Linked DNA regions of Nothobranchius furzeri. The protein of the gene in region 3 purifies or fractionates together with the protein of the main gene of each other region. This does not show direct contact. Links are inferred from orthologs where the notes say so. Each region holds a gene or a part of one and is shown on either strand. Other genes may lie near its edges.

Region 1 (5,409 bases), on a different chromosome or scaffold from region 3:
ACATAATTTCAGTCCGCATCATACTCCTCTCTGGAATTGTAGATACATCACCTCAAGAAATAACTCAATATTTTATCCAAACTGGGTGGAAAAGGATATCTGGTCTGTTTTACACTTGTTACACTGTTGTCTCATGAACTACTTAGCTCCAAATTCAAGCTGACTGTTAAGGAACAATATCAGGTTATAAAAGCAATTCCAAGTCCTGTCTTGTCAATCTCCTCCAATTTACATCACAATAACATTAGTCCAAAGCTCCCTGGACTTATGCTTAATGGATGTTCTATTACTGACAAAAAGTTATCCAATATTGTAGTAAGACAGTTATTTAGTCAACTGCATCCATTCTTAGCCAACAGATCATTAGCTTCTCACCTACAATCTTATGAAATAGAAAAAAAAGCAAGGAGTTTTTTTTCAAGCTTCCAGTTGCTCCAAAGATAAAAGAGATGCTGTTTAAAATTATTAATAGCATTTATCCATCTGGAGAGCTTTTGAGACATCGATTTAACTTGGAACATAATGGCTGCTCATTTTGTAATGCAGACAGAAACCACTGAGCATCTGCTTTTTGACTGAATTTGTAAAGACTTTTTGGAGTGAATTAGAGAATTGGTTGGCTTTGAGGCTATGTAATCCACCAAAACTTTCTAAAAAAACGTGTTAATCGGTTGTTTTACAACCAAGGACAATATTTATATTGCTTTAAATGTTATAATTATCCATGGATGTTATATACACAAATGCCGTTATGCTAAAACCTACCCTAATTTCATTGCATTTTATAAAGAATTAGTACATTACTTCTCTTTTTTGAAATCCATGAAAGGCTCCAAAGCCTAAGAAATACAAACTAAATGCTAACCCCTAGCACATTTATTGAATGATGTTTTGCACTTTAATAGTTGTTTTACTGTCATTTTGTCTATTTCATTTAATTTGTATTTTATTTATATTATGTTTGTTTATTATTTATTTACTTTTCCTCAGTTTATTTCTCTTGTCTGCTTGTATTTCCAGTTAAGAAGGGAATATTGTAATGTGCCATGTTTTGTTGATTAATAAACAGATTTTAAAAAATCATCCAAGGATCATGCACGTTTTGACTGTAGGGCCTTTGGTTAGGGAGCCGGTAGCTGAAACGCATTGACCTTCGCAATAGCGCCACCTAGAGTTTTGTGGGTATGAATTTTGGAATCATAGTAGCAGTCAGGTTTTTCTATCAGACTGCCATGTTACATTTTTTCTGGCATTTTCAGGCTCCTGCAGCCATATAGAATTAGCGGAAAAGAATAATGAATAACAATAAATAATGAAAAATCCGTTGAAAAACAACAGGGTTCCCTGCCCGTTGTCGCTTCATGCTGTTGTGATTTTCCTGTGCTGTAATGAGCGCATCCTCCTGGTGGAGCTGCTGTGCTTCCGCGAAGAAAAACAGTCGGAGGAAGCCAGCTAGACGAGCCGAGGGAAAGTTATGGACAGACGTTTTCTAAAGATGGACGTTATTCTTCGGCTTCCCGTGCAGAAATAGTAGGAGCTATCCCCATGTCTACGGAGCCGGCCTCGGTAACATCTACGAGAAAGGGCTGGATTTAAGCCCCGGCAGCTACGTTTAGCAACCAGGCTCGGAAGCTAATGTAAGCAAGCTAATTCACACCGTAGGCCTTGATAACTAAATTGTTTTGTTTAAGTGTCATGTTGTTTGTGCATTTCTCTTATTAACACCGTACTGATGCTCCAGGACTTGTTATCCAGCCTTCTGTGCAACTTAAAGCACGTTGTAGCCTTTGGTTGGTGGTTTTGTTGCAGCTGTGCTAGTTTTAGCTCTGCTGGCTAGCCAGCTGATGGAAGCTAGCGTGCTGTTTACCATGTTTGACAGCTCGCAAAAGGAATGTGGAGCGAAACGCAGTTCCGGTACATCAGTGCGTTCATTTTTTGTTTTTGTTTTTCTGATTGGTATTGACACGTTTCCGTTGTCCACTGTCTTCTTTTCTCTGATTAGTTACTAGCTTGTTTTAGCTAGTAATGTCTCAGACGCTACCACCTTCCGATATGCTGGAAACGCCACCTGGATATCCATTTGAAGAGATCAATTATGAGGATATTGAAGTGGAGGAGGTGAGTTATGTTTGGTCCGTGTGGCCATGGATGAGGGTGTTAACGGAGTTGTCCTAAACGTGATCGCCTGTATCTGTCCCTGTGAAGGTGGTGGGCAGAGGTGCGTTCGGGGTGGTCTGCAAAGCCAAGTGGAAAGGCAAAGATGTTGCAATCAAGACCATCGAGAGTGAGTCGGAGAGGAAAGCCTTTATTGTTGAGGTACTGTTACTCTATTATTATTGTTGTTGTTATTGTTATTATTGTTGTTATTATTGGTGCAGAGTCGACCAGGTCCACTGATGCACCAAGATGTGACTGCTGGTTTGGTGTTAGTGGCAAATGTCTGACACATCATACAGCTCTCAGCCATAAGATAATGACCACCTGTATGGTCTGAGTAAATCCTGCTTTTCTACTAGAGCACTGCAGACGTTAGAGGCCTGAACAGTGACATCACTAGACGTTTGTTTCTGGAGGATGTTGTGAGGCGAGGCCTTCATGGATGGGTTGATTTGGATGTGAAGACTCTAAAAACATCCATAAACATCTCTAACCACTTCTGTTAGGTCACCTGGTTCTTGTTCTTCTGCAGGCTTTTCCTCTTAACTCTTTCACTGCCATTGACGACTAAAGTCGTCATTTGCATTTTTTTTACTGTGTAGGCATCGGAACGAGCCCCTGCGCCGAAAGAACAAACATCTCAGCTCTGAAGCCGATCTTCATTCGCATACGTCACACGTCACATGATCAGGACGGAGAAAATCCATGTGTTAGGAGATTGCTTTGGGCCATTCCTGTAAAAAAAAAAAGTGAGGCGCGAACCGGAAAAGCGTCTGCCCATCACAGTTCGACAACGAGTTATGAAAGAACGGATAACGCTCGAAACGTGCAGATTCTTCCTGATGTAAGAGATGAGTCTCATCTTTGTTTTGGTTGTTTTGGCATCGACATCATCCTAGCGCGCAACGTTCTGTCACTCTTAAAAAACAGTAAAAACGGTGAGAAACGCTGGCAGCGAAGGCCGTTAACGATCAGGAAACGGCTGGCAGTGAATGAGTTAAAGGGAAGTGTCCCCTCTTCTCTTACACCATACTGAAGTGTAATCAGTGTAATCTGCCCATTTCGTTCTTTACTGTGCACTAAAATATCTGAGATTGAGTCATATAAAACTTTCAGATCAAAAAGCTAATTTCAAAGTCTGATAAGGATAACCTGAGTCAATAAAATGTTTTTTTCTGATGGTTTCATTATTAGAGGAACAGAGCTATCCCGACCACCCCGGTCCGGCGTGATAAAACAAACCTCACAAGTAGCAAACACCCCCGGTGTCACATCAGATGATTTGGATCCAAGGATTCAGCCAATACTCAGAAAGGTCAAAATACAAATGTATGTAAAGCAAATTAAATAAATCAGGAATGGTTTTAAGATTAACTTGGTTTGACACAACAGATATAGCTTAGCTTGACGACTAGACCACGACTAGATTAGAATTCATGTTGGACTCCCTTGACTGAGACCTGCTGATTCTGGCCTGGTTCGTAGCGAGTTAGTGGGCTGATCTGGCACTCACCAATAGCTGCAGGGAGCTTTTATCACCGTAATACAGATGGAAATATCAAGATGTCTCAGGTGAGCTTCGATGAGGTGAGTGCAGAGAGATCAGGAACTGAAGTCCTGACACTAAGAGGCTCCACCTGGGTCCGGTGTCTGTGATAACTCCTATTGAGTCTCATGCCAAGCCAACTTTATTTGTGTACAACCTTAAACAATAACAGTAAAAACAATAAAAATGCATAAAAACTAAAACTTGAGGACTAAAAGTAAAAGACTCATGCTAAGTTAAAAGTGGGTTTTCTAGAGATTTCTGTCACCTCTAAACTGGCGTCTCGTTGTCGGGACTTCCAGGAGCTTCCTATCAGCCGACCTCAGACCGTGCAGGGGAGTTAAAAACCAGTAGCTCAGAGAGGTCATCTGGAGCAAGGCCGTAAAGATTTAAAAGCCCATAAAAGCACCTTGTACTGGATTCAAAAACAAGCAGGTAGCCAGTGCAGTGAGGCCAGGACAGGAGTAACGTGCACCGTCATTTTCGTCCCATCGATAAGCCGTGCAGCAGCATCCTGCACCAACTGAAGACGCCAGAGGTGGGATTGTGAAACACCAAACTCTCAGTGTGTTCACATGCGCGTCAGAAAACTGAACTTTTGCCCTAAGTAGACTGACGTTGTTGATTTTTAAACTCATGTAAACTTGTAAGTCTCGTTGAACGTGAACTGGTTCTAGTCGTCCTGAAGCACCCAGATAATGTAGTGGGAGCCCAACTTCATCTGTGTGTAAGCGCCTCCATCGAGCTGATGACGGTAACTTTCAGACTTGACGAGACGCAGAAGAGGTCTTCTGATATCATCGCCACAAAGTCGCACGTGTAACAGCATCACAGATCAGCTGTGCCGCAGCGTTGTTGTCCATTCGGCCATTGTTCATATCCTGTTTTAACTCTGTCTGCTTCACTCCCACCAGCGTTTGTTTGCTATTTGTGTTGCTATAAGTTAACCGGAAGAACGCCTACACAATAGGGCGCATGTCGCCTCCAACTGTACCGGAACGGTACTAACGTCTTTACGGGGGTTGGTTTTCTAACGTACAGGTAAACTAGGAGAAAGGCTCCCAGTTTATTTTAGATCCATTCAGATGTGCGTGTAAACACGCTGAGTGGTACATCAGAGGGGTTTCCAGCAGGAACGGCCTGTTTAAGGTCAAAGGTCAGACGTTCTCTTTCAGGATGCTCTGCCAGAGCATGGTTCCAGCAGGTCCTTTGTGTTCTTCCTCACTTGACTCATGACCTCTGACCTTAACATTAGCCAAGTGACACCTGTAGGTAGGATGGGCCCAACATCTATAAATCGTGATATAATTTAAAGCACGTGCGGTAACACGACGTATTCTTTTCATTAGTTTATTTGTCCAAATAACCTTTCTGAACAATCTCTCACACCAGATGAGCGGCACCAGAACAAGTGCTGATGAAAAGGACAGAATGCCACTTAAAAACCGTTTAACGTGACAAAACGTCTCAAATGACTTTTATGTTCTTAAGGTTCTTTTTTCAAACTTTTCATCACAAATATTCTCATGACGTGAATAAAGATGAAGATATTTTAATGAAAAATGTAAAAACACAAATAAAATTTCTTTCTGATTAATTTAATAATTTTCAGGTTTTCTTTTGCTCATAGAAGTTTAGTGTTAGTCGTTAATAACTGCAGCTAAAACGATGCTTTGCAGCAGTTCTTTTTTGTTTGTAAAAGAGAA
Region 2 (5,181 bases), on a different chromosome or scaffold from region 3:
TGACATCCAACTGTACATCTCCTTTAAGCTCCATGAGCTGCTGCTGTTACACACCTGCTTAGACTCTATCAAAACCTGGATGGCTGGGAGCTTTCTACAGCTGAATGAAGATAAGACTGAGATCCTTATCTGTGCCCCAGACAAGCTGGTTCCCAAAGTCAGAGACTCTCTTGGTCAGCTTGCTTCTCACACCAAACCTTCCGTCAGGAATCTTGGCGTGACCTTTGACCCAGCTCTCACCCTGCATTCTCATGTAAGTTCTTGTTCGCTCTTCCTTCTTCCATCTCAGGAACATTGCTAAGCTGAGTCCCATTCTGTCCCGCTCTGAACTTGAGACTGTTCTCCACACCTTCATCTCCTCACGCTTAGACTACTGCAACTCTCTTTTCACGTGCCTGAGCAAAACCTCCCTGAACCGTCTACAGGTGGTTCAGAATGCCTGTGCTCAGCTTCTGACCAAGTCCTCCAAACACACCCACATCACCTCGCTTCATTGGCTGCCAGTCAACTTCAGGGTTCATTTCAAGATCCTGGTTCTGGTCTATAGGGTCATGGACAAGCACCTTCTTACATTGGTGATCTTCTTAGTCCCTACACCCCCAGCAGGTCCCTGAAGTCCAGTAATCAAAGCCTACTGGTTGTGCAGCGCACCAGGCTAAAGACCAAAGGTGACAGATCATTTGCTGCTGTGGCCCCCAGACTCTGGAACTCTCTCCCCCTGAGCCTGAGATCAGTGGACTCAGTGGACTCCTTTAAAAAACAGCTGAAGACTCACCTGTTCAAGCTGGCTTTTGTACGACCTTTTTCACCACTCTCTCTTTATTCTGCTCTCCCCACCTATTCCACCTTCCTCAGGATCCACTGATTTCCCACTTTCCTATTCACTCTCTCTCTTTCTTAACATTTTTTAAATCGCAATTGTCTATTTTTTGCTCATTTTAAATGTATTTGTTACCATTTTCTAAATTCTTTTTCATGCTTTTACATTTTTTGTTTTTGTGAAGCGCCTTGTGACTTTTATCTTGAGAGGCATTATAGAAATTATATTTTCTTCTTCTTGTTCTTCTTCAAAGATGTGATAGATCATCTTAAGAAATGTTCTTTATAAAAGTGGCGATTTTACAATAAAGTTGACAATAACTTTTGATTTTGTACCTCATTATCAAACTTCTGAAAACAAAATAAATATAAAAAAATGTGTCTGTGGTTCTACTTGAAGACCAGTTGAGTAAAATTCAGTTAGCAAATTTGGCCACTAGGTGGAGGCACCGTTACATGTAAATATGAATTTCAGACGAATTAATTTATACTAAATGAAGACACATATTTAAGTTATATAACATAGTTTTTTTCAACTGCATGTATTAGAGTTTCGTTTTTAATGCCTTTTTTAGTTATTTCAAACGCTTCGCAAACATGAATCTATTAACCAGCCTGGTGTATTAATCTGTTATCAACTTGTAAGGCTGTTTGTAGTCTTAAGCATTAGTTTCGCTCATCGGTTTGTTTCGCTTTATTACTAGTAGGACGTCGAGGAAACACCGGAAATACTGAGAAAGAATATTTAAGTGAGTTTTAGGATAACTTATTGACACTTTTAATTTTATATTTGTAATTGGAATGCATAATGAGGTTACTTTACGTCGTGGTTAATGAGTTTTTAAGCTATCATTAAGCTGCTTTATGATGCGTCTTGGCATGTCTTGCTAACTCAACTCGGGGCTGTGTTTTGAAAGTTACGGGTGGTTAATTCATCGGGTCAGTGCTTTAGTTTGAACGCTGCGTTTACTTACACACACATATATATAGTAGTGTAGCTAAATGTTAACTACATTGTTATGAGTGTAAACGAGCAAAGTCGGAAGTTTTTATGTCATTTGTATCAGAAATGGCAACCGCGCCTGAAACCTCGCTTCAGATGAGCTCGTCGGATCTCATCAAAAAGAAGCCGCTGGACTACGGAGGATTTGGAGAAGTTTATTTGTGCTACCATGTCACCCTCGGCCATGTGGCGCTGAAGACTGTGTACACAGGTCCTCTACGAAGCGAGTAAGTTATTATGTTTGTTACAGAGGGAGAACATTCCCGGGTATTCCCCTCCTTGTAACTTAAATCATGTGTCCAGATTGCTGGTTACAGACAGCTGTGGCTGGACTTTTTAATTTAGCATTAAGGGAGTAGGAAGTAATACCCTGATGTGAAAATAGACAACCGATGGTAAAATAAAGTGCACTGTTTTCCTTTTATTATCACGAATCTTTGTCAGGGTCAGATATTTTATTCCACAAGAGGATGCCTCCCATCTATTTCGTAGATCAGACCTGCACAGGTGCATGTTTTGCAAAGTCTTTTCAGCATCTGAGACACATCAAAGCTTCTAAATGCAACAATCTCAAATTCTAAACTGAATTTAAGTAAATCTTTTGACAGTGATCTTATACTAATCTTCTCTGCTTCTCTCTGCGTGTGCAAGTATGAGAGTCTCAAACTCAAAGTTTGTGAAGCATCTATAATCATTCAAGAAAAGTGTGATTGTGTGACTTTTACTGAACTGTGCAGTTTGTTTACCAACAAAGAAAACAATGTCAGTATTAGAATTCTTAATTTACAACTCAGAAATGTGTGTGACATTATCAACTGTTATCAAACAATTAAATAAAAATAAAACTTTACGTATTTTTGCTATGATGAATAAAAATAAATTTAGATCAAACAGGACATTTACCACAGCATATCAGATGATCATGCTTGTTCTTCTTGTTGTTTCTATTTTATTATATATATATATATATATATATATATATATATATATATATATATATATACACCATACTCATCAGAGACAGTAAAAGGTCGCTGCTGGAGGAAGGGAATATCATGGCAAGCCTCAATCATGAGCGTGTGGTAAAGCTGCTGGGTGTGATCATGGAGGATAGCGACTGCTCTCTCGTTATGGAGCTCCTGCCCAGAGGCAACCTGCTGGTCGTGCTGAAGAAGGTCAGTCACTCTAAAAATGCCCACTTGGCTTAAAAAAGCATTTTTTTTCAACTGTTTAATAGTGAAACCTGTGTTAGGCTTCAATAGATAAGGATGTGCTTTTATAAACTGTAATATTAATACACTAAATGATTGTTTTTGTAGGTCAATGTGCCGATGTCTGTCAAGGGAAGGATCATCTTAGAGATTTTGGATGGGATGGTGTACCTCACAGAGAGGTCCATCGTCCACAAGGACATCAAGCCTGAAAACATCTTAGTGGATAATGATTTTCACATCAAGGTACACGATAATCTAACACCTATTACTTTTTATTTTATTTACACTCATTATAAAAGCTTTATTCTCTGCGTTATTTAGATCGCCGACCTCGGCCTAGCAACCTGCAAGATGTGGAGCAAGCTCACGAAACAGGAGTCTCAAAGAAGGAGTCGTAACGAGCCATCGGCTGGACTGAGAGGTGCTGGGACGCTGAGCTACATGGCGCCAGAGCACCTGAAGAGCATCCATGCCCGCTCTACTGAGAAGTCTGACGTGTACAGCTTTGCCATCGTGGTCTGGGTCATTCTCACTGGGCAAGAACCATATGAAAGTGAGCTTGAAAACATAAACCTTGTTTAATTTTATTTTTGTGCAAACATTAAAACAATCTGTCTCATTTCCAGACGCCAGGAGTGAAGAACACATGAGCCAGTGTGTCATCAACGGTGACCGACCAGCAGATCATCTCATTCCTGAAGACACGCCTGAAGAGATCATTCAGCTCATGAAGAGGTGCTGGGATCACAATCGTGAACAAAGACCAACATTTGAAGGTTTGGCATTCAGAATTGCATTTCTTAGGAAAAAGAGATGGTATCATTTTTCTTAGATTTTTTCCCCCCATGCCTAACAGGAACACATCATGTTGAGTCTCACTCAGACTGAAACTCAGATTATTATTATTATTATTATCATTATTATTATATTATTAATGTTAGATGGATCTTTTCATCCTCCCCTCTCATCTGTTTGCTCCTTTCTTGCAGAGGCTTATCGCTCTTTCCTTCCTTTGTACATGGAAAAGCTTGAACCATATGTAGAGAAAGATGTTTGCACATTAAGGGTGAGTATAGTACGGTATAATTGTGGTGGTTTTGGGAGGAACTCACTAACCCACCAAGTGATTTTAAAAGCTAAATACTGATTTTAAGTAAGGATTCAATGTTATTTTGTTACAGGAAACATACAATGGCCCAGAAGAACTGGTTGAAAGCATGAAATCATTATCAGTGACCAACGAATGTAGTCTGGCATGTGAACACGGTAGGTCCGACTCTTTACTTTGATGCTCTGTTTTACGTTTAATGTTTGAAATTTTGCAGGATGCCTAAACCCTTGAGCACCATTTCTGATTTAAGATTTTCTGATGTTTTTAGACCACCCAGCTCCTTTGATGAGCTCAGATAAAAGTATATCCATGATACCAGTTGAGGCCAGTATCGAGGACCTGCATAACATCCAGTACGACCCATACAGAGAGTTTATTCAAGCGGACGCAAGAGAAATGACCAACCGACCAGAGCTGGAGGAGAAACTGGACCGGGAGCTTCAGTACCACCAATATGGCAGCTACAACATGCACCCTGAAGCTTCCAACTACTTTCTCAAAAATCCCTCAAACCCTTTCTTGCCTAACTATGGCAGTGTCACAGATAACATTGCAAGAGGGCCAGCACAGGAAGTGTCCTCTGTTCATTCATGGACTAAAGGAGAAATGGTGCAGCCCACCAGCCCGGAGGAGGGTTTTGATCGCCTCAATTCTGGACTCAACCATTCCATTAACTCCTCCTCGGCTTATGAACCCCATCTGCACATGTCTGCTAGCACACCCTCTCTGCCACAGTTTAACCAGCATCATCCACCCCCCCAGTTTGACCGCCAGAAGTCCTGCTTAACTTATCCGGTGTCTGACACCTGTGTCCCTGATGTAACCACGGGGTGTTATCTGAACAATACAAAGTATGGCTCACAACAGGACTCAGGTACATGGAAATGTGTTTTTAGCATTCATCAGTTGTTTACTCTGACTGTTATGCAATAGAATGAAAAATTTGTTGGTTGTGTGTCTTTGTTGTTGTTTTTTCCAGCTTCCCTTTTTATTCAGAACGCCAGCGGGATCCAGATTGGAAGCAACAACACGAT
Region 3 (4,685 bases):
AAAAGCTCCCATCTTTACAGTGATTAAGAATAGCAGGACTCCTCTTTTCTTAAGGTAAATGAGGTGAGCGAGGTCCTCCCACCAGCTCCTTCTGTTTTTCCTGCAGAGCGGCCTTCCGCCCGTCTCCTTCCTCCCTGAGCAGGGAGTGACTCCTCGGAAAGCCGACCGTCGCTCAGCTGGGAGACGCAGGGAAGCTACATAGGACTACGCGATGAACACAACACTTATGCACAGTGCAAATAGGCTTCTCGCGCTCTCCTTCGCCTCTCTGACCTCCAGAAGCGGGCCGGCGCTGAGGAGACGTGGGTGGGTTCCTCAGGGCAGCCCCCTGGTGGCAGACACCTCCTTCGGTTCATGCTGTAAAGTTCTGGTCGTTCAGGGAAGCTGCTGGCCAGAGGGAGCGGTGCAGAGGAGGAGAGGTGGTGGCGGTGTGTGTGTGTGTGTGTGTGTGTGTGTGGGGTTCTACTTGTACAGGCTCATGGTCGGGCTCTGATACATGCACATGTAAGCGTCACAGAGCAGGCGGCGTGCCTGGCCCTGGATGCTCTTGGGGTCTAAGGTGTGCAGCTCCTCAGGGGTCATCTTCAGGTAGGCTTCCACCTCTGGACAGGGAGACACCTGAGGGATGTTGAAACCGTTCTGTCCACCTGGAGAAACAAGATGGAAGCTTTTAAAAATCTAAACTCCTGATGTTGGTTTAAAGTTCCTCTCGTGAGACCAAACAGGAGAATCCAGGATCCGGGGACACCCACCGTCGCGGTCAGCCATGCTGTCAAAGAAGAGCCAGGCAGAGTCGGCGGCGCCGTACTTGACGAAGGCCACATAGTGGCTGGTTTCGATGCACAGCACGGCGAACAGCTCCATCCGCTGGCGGGGGAAAGTGCCCTGACGTCCTGTACCCTCCTGCAGCTCCTTGGGGACGGACAGTTTGCTGTGTCGGTGAGTTTTCCTCTTCGGGTGGAGGTGAACCTAAATGAGCACAACCAGACATCGTCCCAAATCCTTCGTGTGGTTTAATAAAAAAACAGACTAAAAAGCATAAACAACATTAAAACACCAGAAAGTTCTAACTGAAGATGAAGAACTCTGCAGCACAACAGACGATGGGATTCCTTTGGATTTGGCGCCACCTGGTGGACGACAGGCTAACTGATTACCTGTGTGTTGCACTTTTCACAGAACTGCTTAATCTTGCCGGCCGTGATGTCCCCGTCCTCATAACAGTCTCTGCACTCGTAGAGAGCCAGGCCGCCGCAGATGCGACACTCTCTTGGAGCTAAAATTTCAAAAGAGAGAAACTTTGTTATAAGACCCCACCCGGCTTCCAATCGCCTCTACGGAAATGGAAAACAACTCACTGTCCTCCAGAAGGTCTGTGATGTCCAACTCCAAGGAGGGAAAGATCTTGTTGAACATTTTGAAGTCCTTTCCAAATCGAGGCATTTGAATGATAAGGCAAGAGGGAGCCTGAGGGAGGAAGAAATGATGATAAACACATTTATTTACCCAGGTGGTATCCAAGGTTGCCCCCAAGTTGTGGCCAGGGGTGGCCATGGCCACCCCTAGAAAACTGCTGCCCCCCACCCAGAAAGGGCAGTGTTAACAAATCATATTAATGTTCAGTCAAACCATATATTGATCTTGTTTATTCAAGACATAATTAGTCGTCGTCGTCTTCCTCTGCTTATCCGGGTCCGGGTCGCGGGGGCAGCATCCCAACTAGGGAGCTCCAGACCGTCCTCTCCCCGGCCACCTCCACCAGCTCCTCCGGCAGGACCCCAAGGCGTTCCCGGACCAGATTGGAGATGTAACCTCTCCAACGTGTCCTGGGTCGACCCGGGGGCCTCCTGCCGGCAGGACATGCCCGAAACACCTCCCCAGGGAGGCGTCCAGGAGGCACCCTGACCAGATGCCCAAACCACCTCAACTGGCTCCTTTCGATCCGGAGGAGCAGCGGTTCTACTCCGAGTCCTTCCCGAATGTCCGAGCTCCTCACCCTATCTCTAAGGCTGAGCCCGGCCACCCTACGGAGGAAACTCATTTCGGCCGCTTGTATCCGCGATCTCGTTCTTTCGGTCATTACCCAAAGCTCATGACCATAGGTGAGGATTGGGACGTAGATCGACCGGTAAATCGAGAGCCTGGCTTTCTGGATCAGCTCCCTCTTCCCCACGACAGATCGGCCCAGCGTCCGCATCGCTGCAGACGCCGAACCAATCCGCCTGTCGATCTCCCGATCCCTCCTACCCTCACTCGTGAACAAGACCCCGAGATACTTAAACTCCTCCACTTGAGGTAGGACCTCTCCCTCGACCCGGAGTTGGCAAGCCACCCTTTTCCGGTCGAGAACAAGACATAATTGTAAAACAAAATAAAAAATTACAATTAATGAGAAAAGAAAGCATGATTCTGCAGCTCACCATTCTAAAAAAGTTTTTATTTCCATAGTTTGTTTTTTTGTGAACACAGCAGCAGGTGAATTAACCTAAAAAAATACATTTTTAAATTAAATTTGGGATAACATTTTAAATAACTGAAATGTTTGTGTTTGTAAAATTTAAGTGTTTTGGATACGTACTCGTATTTTAATAAAAACGAATAAAGGCGCAATGCAGCACATCGCCACACACTAAATTCAACCAGAGTTGCCACAAGGACCAGTTTGGTGTGCCACCCCAAAAATTTCTTGGGCCCCATCTGGCCACCCCTATCAAAATTTTCTGGAGGCGCCCCTGCTGGTACCACGGTGTTACAGGTGAGACCTGCTCTAAAAAGTTCTCCTTTATGTTAAAATACATTAAAACAAAAATATGTTCAAATCCTCATGATGACTTTAGGTAAACGGTTAGCTCGTACGAAAAGACAAAAGCATAGTTTCATGGTTTATGAAGATTATTCCACGGCCACAGCAGATCTGCAAGATATGGCAACATGTTTTATGCTTTATTGTTTATGTCATGGTTCGATTTAAACAGAACAACCCAAGGAGCTCTCTCCTAAACGAGCTATAGCGTTGTCAAATCTGGATGTAATCAAATAAATCTGGCTTCTTCTGGCCATCCGCATTTTGCTCTGATGTTTACAATGAATATTTTAACCACAGCAGCGGGCGTGCGAGTCGCTGCTGTGACGAACGAGAGGCCAGGAACCGGAGGTGAGCTGCAGGGTAACACGTTTAACCTTAAGCACAAAGTTTCTTTGTTTTTGCAGGTCTTGATGTTCAGTTGCAGTTATTTTGCAGTTTTATTTGGTGCTTAATCATGACTGGACCCGGCCTCTGACAGCGGCCTTGAAGAAGACGTGAACCTGCAGGTGAGTTTCATAATCTGAGCCAATAAAAGGATAACTTAAGCTGGGCGGACACTGTGCGACTTTTTCACTCGTAGCACTCAGCTTCAGTTCAAACTGTACGACTTCCTCGCAGGGTAGATCTCACGAGTCATGTGCTCACACTGCACGTCTGGTAGCAACACGTCGGACCTAGAAATATGCTAAAAATAGCAGTTTTTACTCAACACGTCAGACTTTTTTGTCTTGCCTGTTGTCCTTCAGGAGTGCTGCAGGAGGACACACAGGGATTTATGGGGGTTGGATGAGGAAAACCAAATAAAGAAAGTAAATCTGTGTTTTGTGATCAGTTTAATTTGACATGAACACGACAAACACGCTTTCTTGACAATCTTTGTGAGTAAAAAACGTGTAGAAACAAAAACGAACAGCGTGTGTTATTAGGGAAATAGCGGGCGAGCGGTGTTGATGCAGGATTGCGCATGCGCCGTGAGCGGTTCTGGTACTTTTTGGGTCGCAGCTGCTCGCAGCGCCGCTTCAACAGTGCGATACCCTCACGAGGGACGAGCAAAATATTAGAAACTCCAGAAGTCTGTGCGAGCTCACGATTGCTGATCGGTAGCTGGTCACGTGGTGTTAATCGCCTCTCGTAACCCCTGTACACTACACGACGCTCGGCGCTAAACTCGCCCCGATCTTGTGGATTCTCGCACGAGTGGAAAATCGGCTCAAAAAAGTGAAAAAGTCACACAGTGTACGCCCGGCTTACGTGAAAAGGGAAACATGAAACCTCCCTGGATGAAATGCTACACGACCCCTGAGACTGGGGTCACCACGAGGAAAAAATCGGACTCACAACAGATGTAGGGCTGAACGTGACAGTGACCTGGGCCTGATTAGTCCCGACCCGACCGTCGGGAAAAACCCACCTGCAACTTTAGAGAGGAGCGAGTTCGACAGGTGTTTAACAGGTAAAGCCCGTATGTCACTGGGCTCGGGCCTGTTTTTCTGTAAAATCACAGAAAAAGAGAGATGCTCGGGTCGAGCAGGCTGCTTCATGCGCGTTCACGCTCAGGCATCGCCCGTAGCATTTGCTATCCGTAGCTTTAGCAGCAGAGAGAGAGGCAGTGCCACTTTGTCGCTGTTCCTAACGCCTAGTGACAAAGCTAGCTACATTTCTGAGGACCCTTAGCTACTTTCTGTAGAACTTTCTTCTAGATATTTCCTGCTAATTAGCAACAAAACAGCCATTTTCACTCCGAACCGTTCTTTGGACGTTGTTTCAAGGATATAAATGTTACAGATACACAAGACGTCACTGGTGTGTAGCTCACCTAGTTAGACGTCGGACTCTCGTGCGGAAGACCTGGGTTTGATTCTGGATGTGAACATAGTTT
Region 4 (5,182 bases), on a different chromosome or scaffold from region 3:
AGTTTTTCCTTTCATGCTGCCTAAAACCATCAATATCCCCTTCAGCTGTGACCCAGAGTAAACGCTCCTGTGACTCCACCTGAGATCATGGATCATGTAGGTTTGAGGGGAAAGAAAAGGGGAGCCTTGGAACGGACACAGATAAACGACTAACGCCTCAACAACAGTGTTTAAACCTAAGTCATAGAATCACTAAAATGTCTGAGTTGGCATAATCTTTTAAAACAGAACATCTGGCCTCTGACCATAGTCCCTTTGAGATCTTCTACCACACACACCATTTATAAATAATCTCAGTGTCTGATCTCGAGTCCACTTAACAGTCTCACACTGTTCAAGAGAATTAAGATTAAAAATATATACTATTGTCTTCCAGTGTATGTTTTCTTTTTCCTACATTTTTTTCAAGTTTTAAGACACTCGACACAATGCAAGCTCAGAGATCTTTTACGCACACACACACACACACACACACACACACTCATACACACATTTATATATACTGTATTTATATATATATATATATTCATATATTAGAAGTATTCTTAGCTGAGAGGTTAGGCAAAGTATATCTTTTTTTTGTACGGAGTTCCTTCAAAATAATAAATTTAACTATTTTCTCCAGGTTCCCTTTTAAGGAGTGTAAAATCCAAGAAGACTGGGAAGCTCTACAACATCACGTGACTATCCAAGAGCAAAATAAACAGATAAAAGGCCTGAAGTTGTACAAGGCAGAGAGATGGACAGACGGCATGGCTCTCAGTGGCTTGTGCGTTCCATGAGAGGAAGAGAAAAAGGACAGCGAACATAAAATGTGCCACATAAGCCTGATGAACGGTAAAGCAATAGTGCAAGACTACAGGTCATTAGAGACTAGATTACAGTAAAGGAGTGAACCGATGGGGATTACTCTGCCTGACTCATCGGTAAACTAAGTGAGACATGGTGCCGGGTTTGAAGTTGAGCTGATGGTTGGGCACAAAGCTGTGCTGAGGATTCTTTCGGGTGCAGATGTCTTTTGCATACAAGCCCATGCATGAATCACATGACACCTTAGAGCAGTTCACACAGGTGTGTGAAGCAGCTGGCTTGTTGCAAAATCCACACCTGGACCCCCCCATGCTTAATCGCTCGCTGCTGCCTCCCTTTGGTGTCGTCAAGGCAGTAGTCTTGCTTGAAAACAACTTGGTGGGCATGAAGGGTTTCTCTATCATCTGAGGATGGGGATGAGAGAGTGAGTGGGTTAGTGTTAGAGGGTGTGGATGAAGATGGGAGTGGGAATGGGTGTTTGAGTAGACAGAAAGCTTTTCCTTGACAGGAAGGTATCCATCAAGGGGTCGTGGGGATTTGGGGTGGTAGTCCTGGAGGCCACAGCAAGGGGATGGGTCCACATCATGACAGGAAGGGCAAAGAATCATGTCACACCTATGGCAGGAAGTCATTGTGGAGCACCCTAGTCCACAACTCTGGCACTTGATATTACCATGACCTTTGAGCAGCCAGCCATCTCGAGGCTCTCTGGAAGGCGGTCGCAATGGAGTCTGCCTTCCTCCTGTCCCTGCACTGCCCTTCTCGGTGTATAAATCAATCTCATCCAGAGAGGCCAGGTGGTAAGACGCGTAGGGGTCAGCTGGGGTGGGTGAAGGAACTGGGAAAAAGTCTGCAACGGGGCTATAAGAAGGTGGAGCAGCGACAGAGAAAAAAGATGCCGGGGTGCTGGGCCTGATGATCTCATCCTTCATATCCTCCTCTGCATCCACAAACAGGGGCTCCTTTCTTAGACTCAACGAGGCCTTCAGAACAGGCTTGTTAACAGCTGGGTGCCAGTGACCAGCCCCATCTGTAACATCCACAGACTTGGATGGTCGGCTACCTCGTCTCAGCTGATGCGCATGAGGTTTCTCTATATCCAGTGGTCGCACAGACAACCGAGCCATGTCTGCCCCAAGGCTGTCACGTCTTCGCAGAGCCTCGGCACAGCCAGCGGCATCATCTCTGCAACCTCTGCGGAGTTCCAGAGCCTCCAGCTCTGAAGCTGAACCACGAGCAAGAGCCACCACCTCCCCCAGAAGACGACACTCGGCCTGGGCCAAAAACAGCTCAAACGCTAACTGGCGGAGATAATTTGTGTCCCCCGTGAGATCCTGCAAAGTAAACTTAGAATCGTGGTCACAGGAATATCCAATGGTGCGCATCAAAGTTCGGAGTTCAGCATCAAAGATGGCGGACTGCAAGTGGTACACATACGGTCCAGTGAAGGTCTAAAAGACAAAAGGACATCATTAGTGAGTCTGTGAAAGAAGAACAGTCTCTGTCTACATGACACCAAATATAGTTAAGGTTCTATTTACATGTTATTGAGGCTGAGTTACACGGAAACATGTTTTAGGAGATTTCCTTATAAAAGAAACTTGTAGAAAACTGTAGCAGTGACCAATTAGAATGCATGAAAAGAGCTCAGCTTTATGTCCTTCTCCATATCTAACAGTTACATAAATGGTACAGAGCATGCATGTTGACTAGAAGACTTGTTTTTTAATGGCTCTTCAAAAACCAACTGGCTTTAGACAAAATACAGAAGCTTCTATGGAGTTATGTTACAGTCTGGCGGCTGTTTTTGTATAAAGAACTCTTTCAAGGTGCAGCTACCCAGTTGAGTGAAGAGTTGTGCTCAACTGGATAGTTGGGACCAAAGACAGTGATGAAGACAGATACATTTGTTCGCTGTTGTATTGATAAGTGTATTAACAAGGTGAAATATTGGTGAGTTGTCTCCATTTTTAAGTTCCTGCTCTTGCTGCCAAGTTCCTGCCTTAGTTACTGCTTTGCATCAATCACAGCCTGAAAAACATGGGCTTTTCATTGGTTTGTTGCGTAACATGAACAGACTTATTCACTGCTGTTCTGTATACAGCAAAGATGTAAAGAGAACAGCTGATATTAATCAGTGCTAGCAGATTTCTGTTGTCTTTTGAAACCCTTGCTACTGAAACTGATACATTTAAATAACAGTCAACAGCATAATTTGAAACTCTTGTCTTGCAAGTTTATTTTGGAATATTTAAAATTAATTTACTGGAGATTTTCTGCCATAAGCAGGTATAATATTCAGTAACACTCACCTTAATACATCTGAACTCTTTCTTCCAAGGAAAGAGCAAGAGGTTGGTACAGATGGTTTCCAGTGTATTGAAAGCTCTCTCCAGGCTCTTCAGGTTGCTTCCTCTCTGGTAGCGGAGTGAGTTCTCCACCACCTCATAGAATCGCACCATGCGAAATCGCTGTCCAGGATCTGGCTGGTAAGCCCCAAGAAGAGCTGTAGCCGTGGAAAGCAGTGCCTCACTGTCTTTGTTTCTACTTTTGTCCCCATCCAGTGTAGTTCCAGCCCCTGTACTGGCTCCCCCCTCCTCCAGGCGCCTTTCCAATGCTGTAACATACCTCCGAAACAGGTCCTCTTTTAACTTGGCATCCATTATTTGCCGCAGATGATCATTCAGCTGCCAAAATTCCCTGTGCAAGCCTCACCCCTTTAGCCACTCCCTGCACTAGGATGCTACATTTGAGCATCATTTTAAGCCACCATAACTCACAGCACACACGGATGCTCACTGAATTCTAATGATCAGTAGAGATGGCAAAGAAGAGAGACCTTGAATCCAGTCAGAAGAACATCCTCTGTTAGTGATATGCAGCTTTGTGGAGGCTTTTAGTGAGTGTGGCTAGGCTGCAGCCTGTATGGATGCCTCAGAATGGACATCTCCAGTAAAACTAAGCTCAACTGGTTTCCAAACAAATACGTTTGTGTGATGCAAAACAAAATTGGGTAGATCACTTTATCAGTCAGTTTGAAGTTGAGTGGAATCCAGTCTTTGGTTTCAGGAATACTGGAGTCTTCTAAGCCAAATCCAAGCTGTAATGATGCATAAAAAAATAATTACGTTAATGGAATGCACAACACTTACGTTTGAGATCATTTACTCCACTAGAAATACATTAATAGGCATGGCCTGAAAAAAACAAAAAGACAGTTAATCTGTTACAGCAAGTCTGCAGAACAAGATTGGTTTTGAATGCAAACACAGTCATGGAACACCCACCCCGCCTCCTCGGGTATCTACCCTGAGACGCTTCTGCCGCAACCGAAAACGTGATGCCAGAGCAAACAAGAGCGTGCTAAACACCAGATGCATTGTCTAGGTCCAAACATTTTTTGTTGTGACTTCAAATGGTGTTTTTCTTTTTAGGAGTTTATCCTAAAGTTGAAGTTGTAGCAACCGGCTGTTTCTCATTCTCTGGTATTACTGAGCAGAGAACCTCTCATACTAGTGGTGTTCTGTTGCAAAATACATGGATGTGTAATGAATGGAAAACACAGGAAAGCGCAGCAGTTCAGCGAGACCAACGACCGGATGGTGCAATGGTTGCTTTCAGTCTGAAACATGTTATTGGCAGAGGTTTGTAGACAAATGCGAGAAAACTACTTTCTTTTTTCTCCACAATGTATTTATAGCTATACTATGCTAGAACATTATTAAGAAGCTCGAAAGAATATTTTAAACTAATTTATTTTCCAAATTTGCTATAGCAGATTTAAACTGAGGTATCGACCTTAGTGTTGAGTGGGAAGTTGATTGCTTTATTCATACACCGAACAGTTGACCTGGTTTAGGTCATCATCATTATGGATACAACCCTGAAAGAAACCAATGCGTAGATTCGAAGAAACAGGTTAACCCATTTGCTCTTTGTTTTCGTTTGGAAAATGGTATTGGAAATGGTAACCTGTCAAAGAAAGTTAGAGTGGTTGGCTTTGATCTCTTTTATCTAATAATATCAAATCAGATATGTGAAAACAGGACAATCTAAATGCGTTATGATGCTTCAAACTAAAACTATTTGGAAGTGTCCGTCATCCCAAAGAATTATTGCTGGTTATTCCAGTTTAATCATACGAGGAACATGTTACGAGCTAGCAAGCAACGTTAGCACTTTCTCACGAAGAATCGCTTGCGAAGCAACCATTAACTATCCCTAATCATTAACAAAAACCACACCAACAGCTACCACACTGACTTTCCACCTCAAACCGATTTAGTCTTCAGCATTAACGCGAATCTACGCCAAGCAGTGAACGCCCATTTAAGCGCAGCTGGCTAGCTAACAGGGCGTTCCATTGCTACCC

What was found.
Region 1: the proteins of cyld (region 3) and map3k7 purify together in Homo sapiens (affinity purification with western blotting; 4 studies listed by BioGRID, with this or other methods). This does not show direct contact. The link is inferred for Nothobranchius furzeri from reciprocal best matches to the Homo sapiens genes CYLD and MAP3K7.
Region 2: the proteins of cyld (region 3) and ripk1l purify together in Homo sapiens (affinity purification with western blotting; 5 studies listed by BioGRID). This does not show direct contact. The link is inferred for Nothobranchius furzeri from reciprocal best matches to the Homo sapiens genes CYLD and RIPK1.
Region 4: the proteins of cyld (region 3) and spata2 purify together in Homo sapiens (affinity purification with western blotting; 10 studies listed by BioGRID and IntAct, with this or other methods). This does not show direct contact. The link is inferred for Nothobranchius furzeri from reciprocal best matches to the Homo sapiens genes CYLD and SPATA2.

What each region holds. Positions count from the first base shown.
Region 1 is NC_091743.1:91,283,079-91,288,487, forward strand, and holds the start of map3k7 (mitogen-activated protein kinase kinase kinase 7), read left to right. Parts: upstream 1-1,424; 5' UTR 1,425-1,637; intron 1,638-2,002; 5' UTR 2,003-2,025; coding exon 2,026-2,118; intron 2,119-2,205; coding exon 2,206-2,316; intron 2,317-5,409. UniProt on the Homo sapiens protein: Serine/threonine kinase which acts as an essential component of the MAP kinase signal transduction pathway. Plays an important role in the cascades of cellular responses evoked by changes in the environment.
Region 2 is NC_091751.1:51,504,172-51,509,352, forward strand, and holds the start of ripk1l (receptor-interacting serine/threonine-protein kinase 1), read left to right. Parts: upstream 1-1,660; 5' UTR 1,661-1,870; coding exon 1,871-2,049; intron 2,050-2,840; coding exon 2,841-2,997; intron 2,998-3,141; coding exon 3,142-3,279; intron 3,280-3,357; coding exon 3,358-3,589; intron 3,590-3,662; coding exon 3,663-3,812; intron 3,813-4,025; coding exon 4,026-4,102; intron 4,103-4,217; coding exon 4,218-4,302; intron 4,303-4,415; coding exon 4,416-5,021; intron 5,022-5,126; coding exon 5,127-5,181. UniProt on the Homo sapiens protein: Serine-threonine kinase which is a key regulator of TNF-mediated apoptosis, necroptosis and inflammatory pathways.
Region 3 is NC_091749.1:71,007,990-71,012,674, reverse strand, and holds the end of cyld (ubiquitin carboxyl-terminal hydrolase CYLD), read right to left. Parts: intron 1,468-4,685; coding exon 1,359-1,467; intron 1,277-1,358; coding exon 1,158-1,276; intron 970-1,157; coding exon 753-969; intron 648-752; coding exon 463-647; 3' UTR 235-462; downstream 1-234. UniProt on the Homo sapiens protein: Deubiquitinase that specifically cleaves 'Lys-63'- and linear 'Met-1'-linked polyubiquitin chains and is involved in NF-kappa-B activation and TNF-alpha-induced necroptosis.
Region 4 is NC_091755.1:60,287,633-60,292,814, forward strand, and holds spata2 (spermatogenesis-associated protein 2), read right to left. Parts: upstream 3,705-5,182; 5' UTR 3,474-3,704; coding exon 3,123-3,473; intron 2,262-3,122; coding exon 921-2,261; 3' UTR 748-920; downstream 1-747.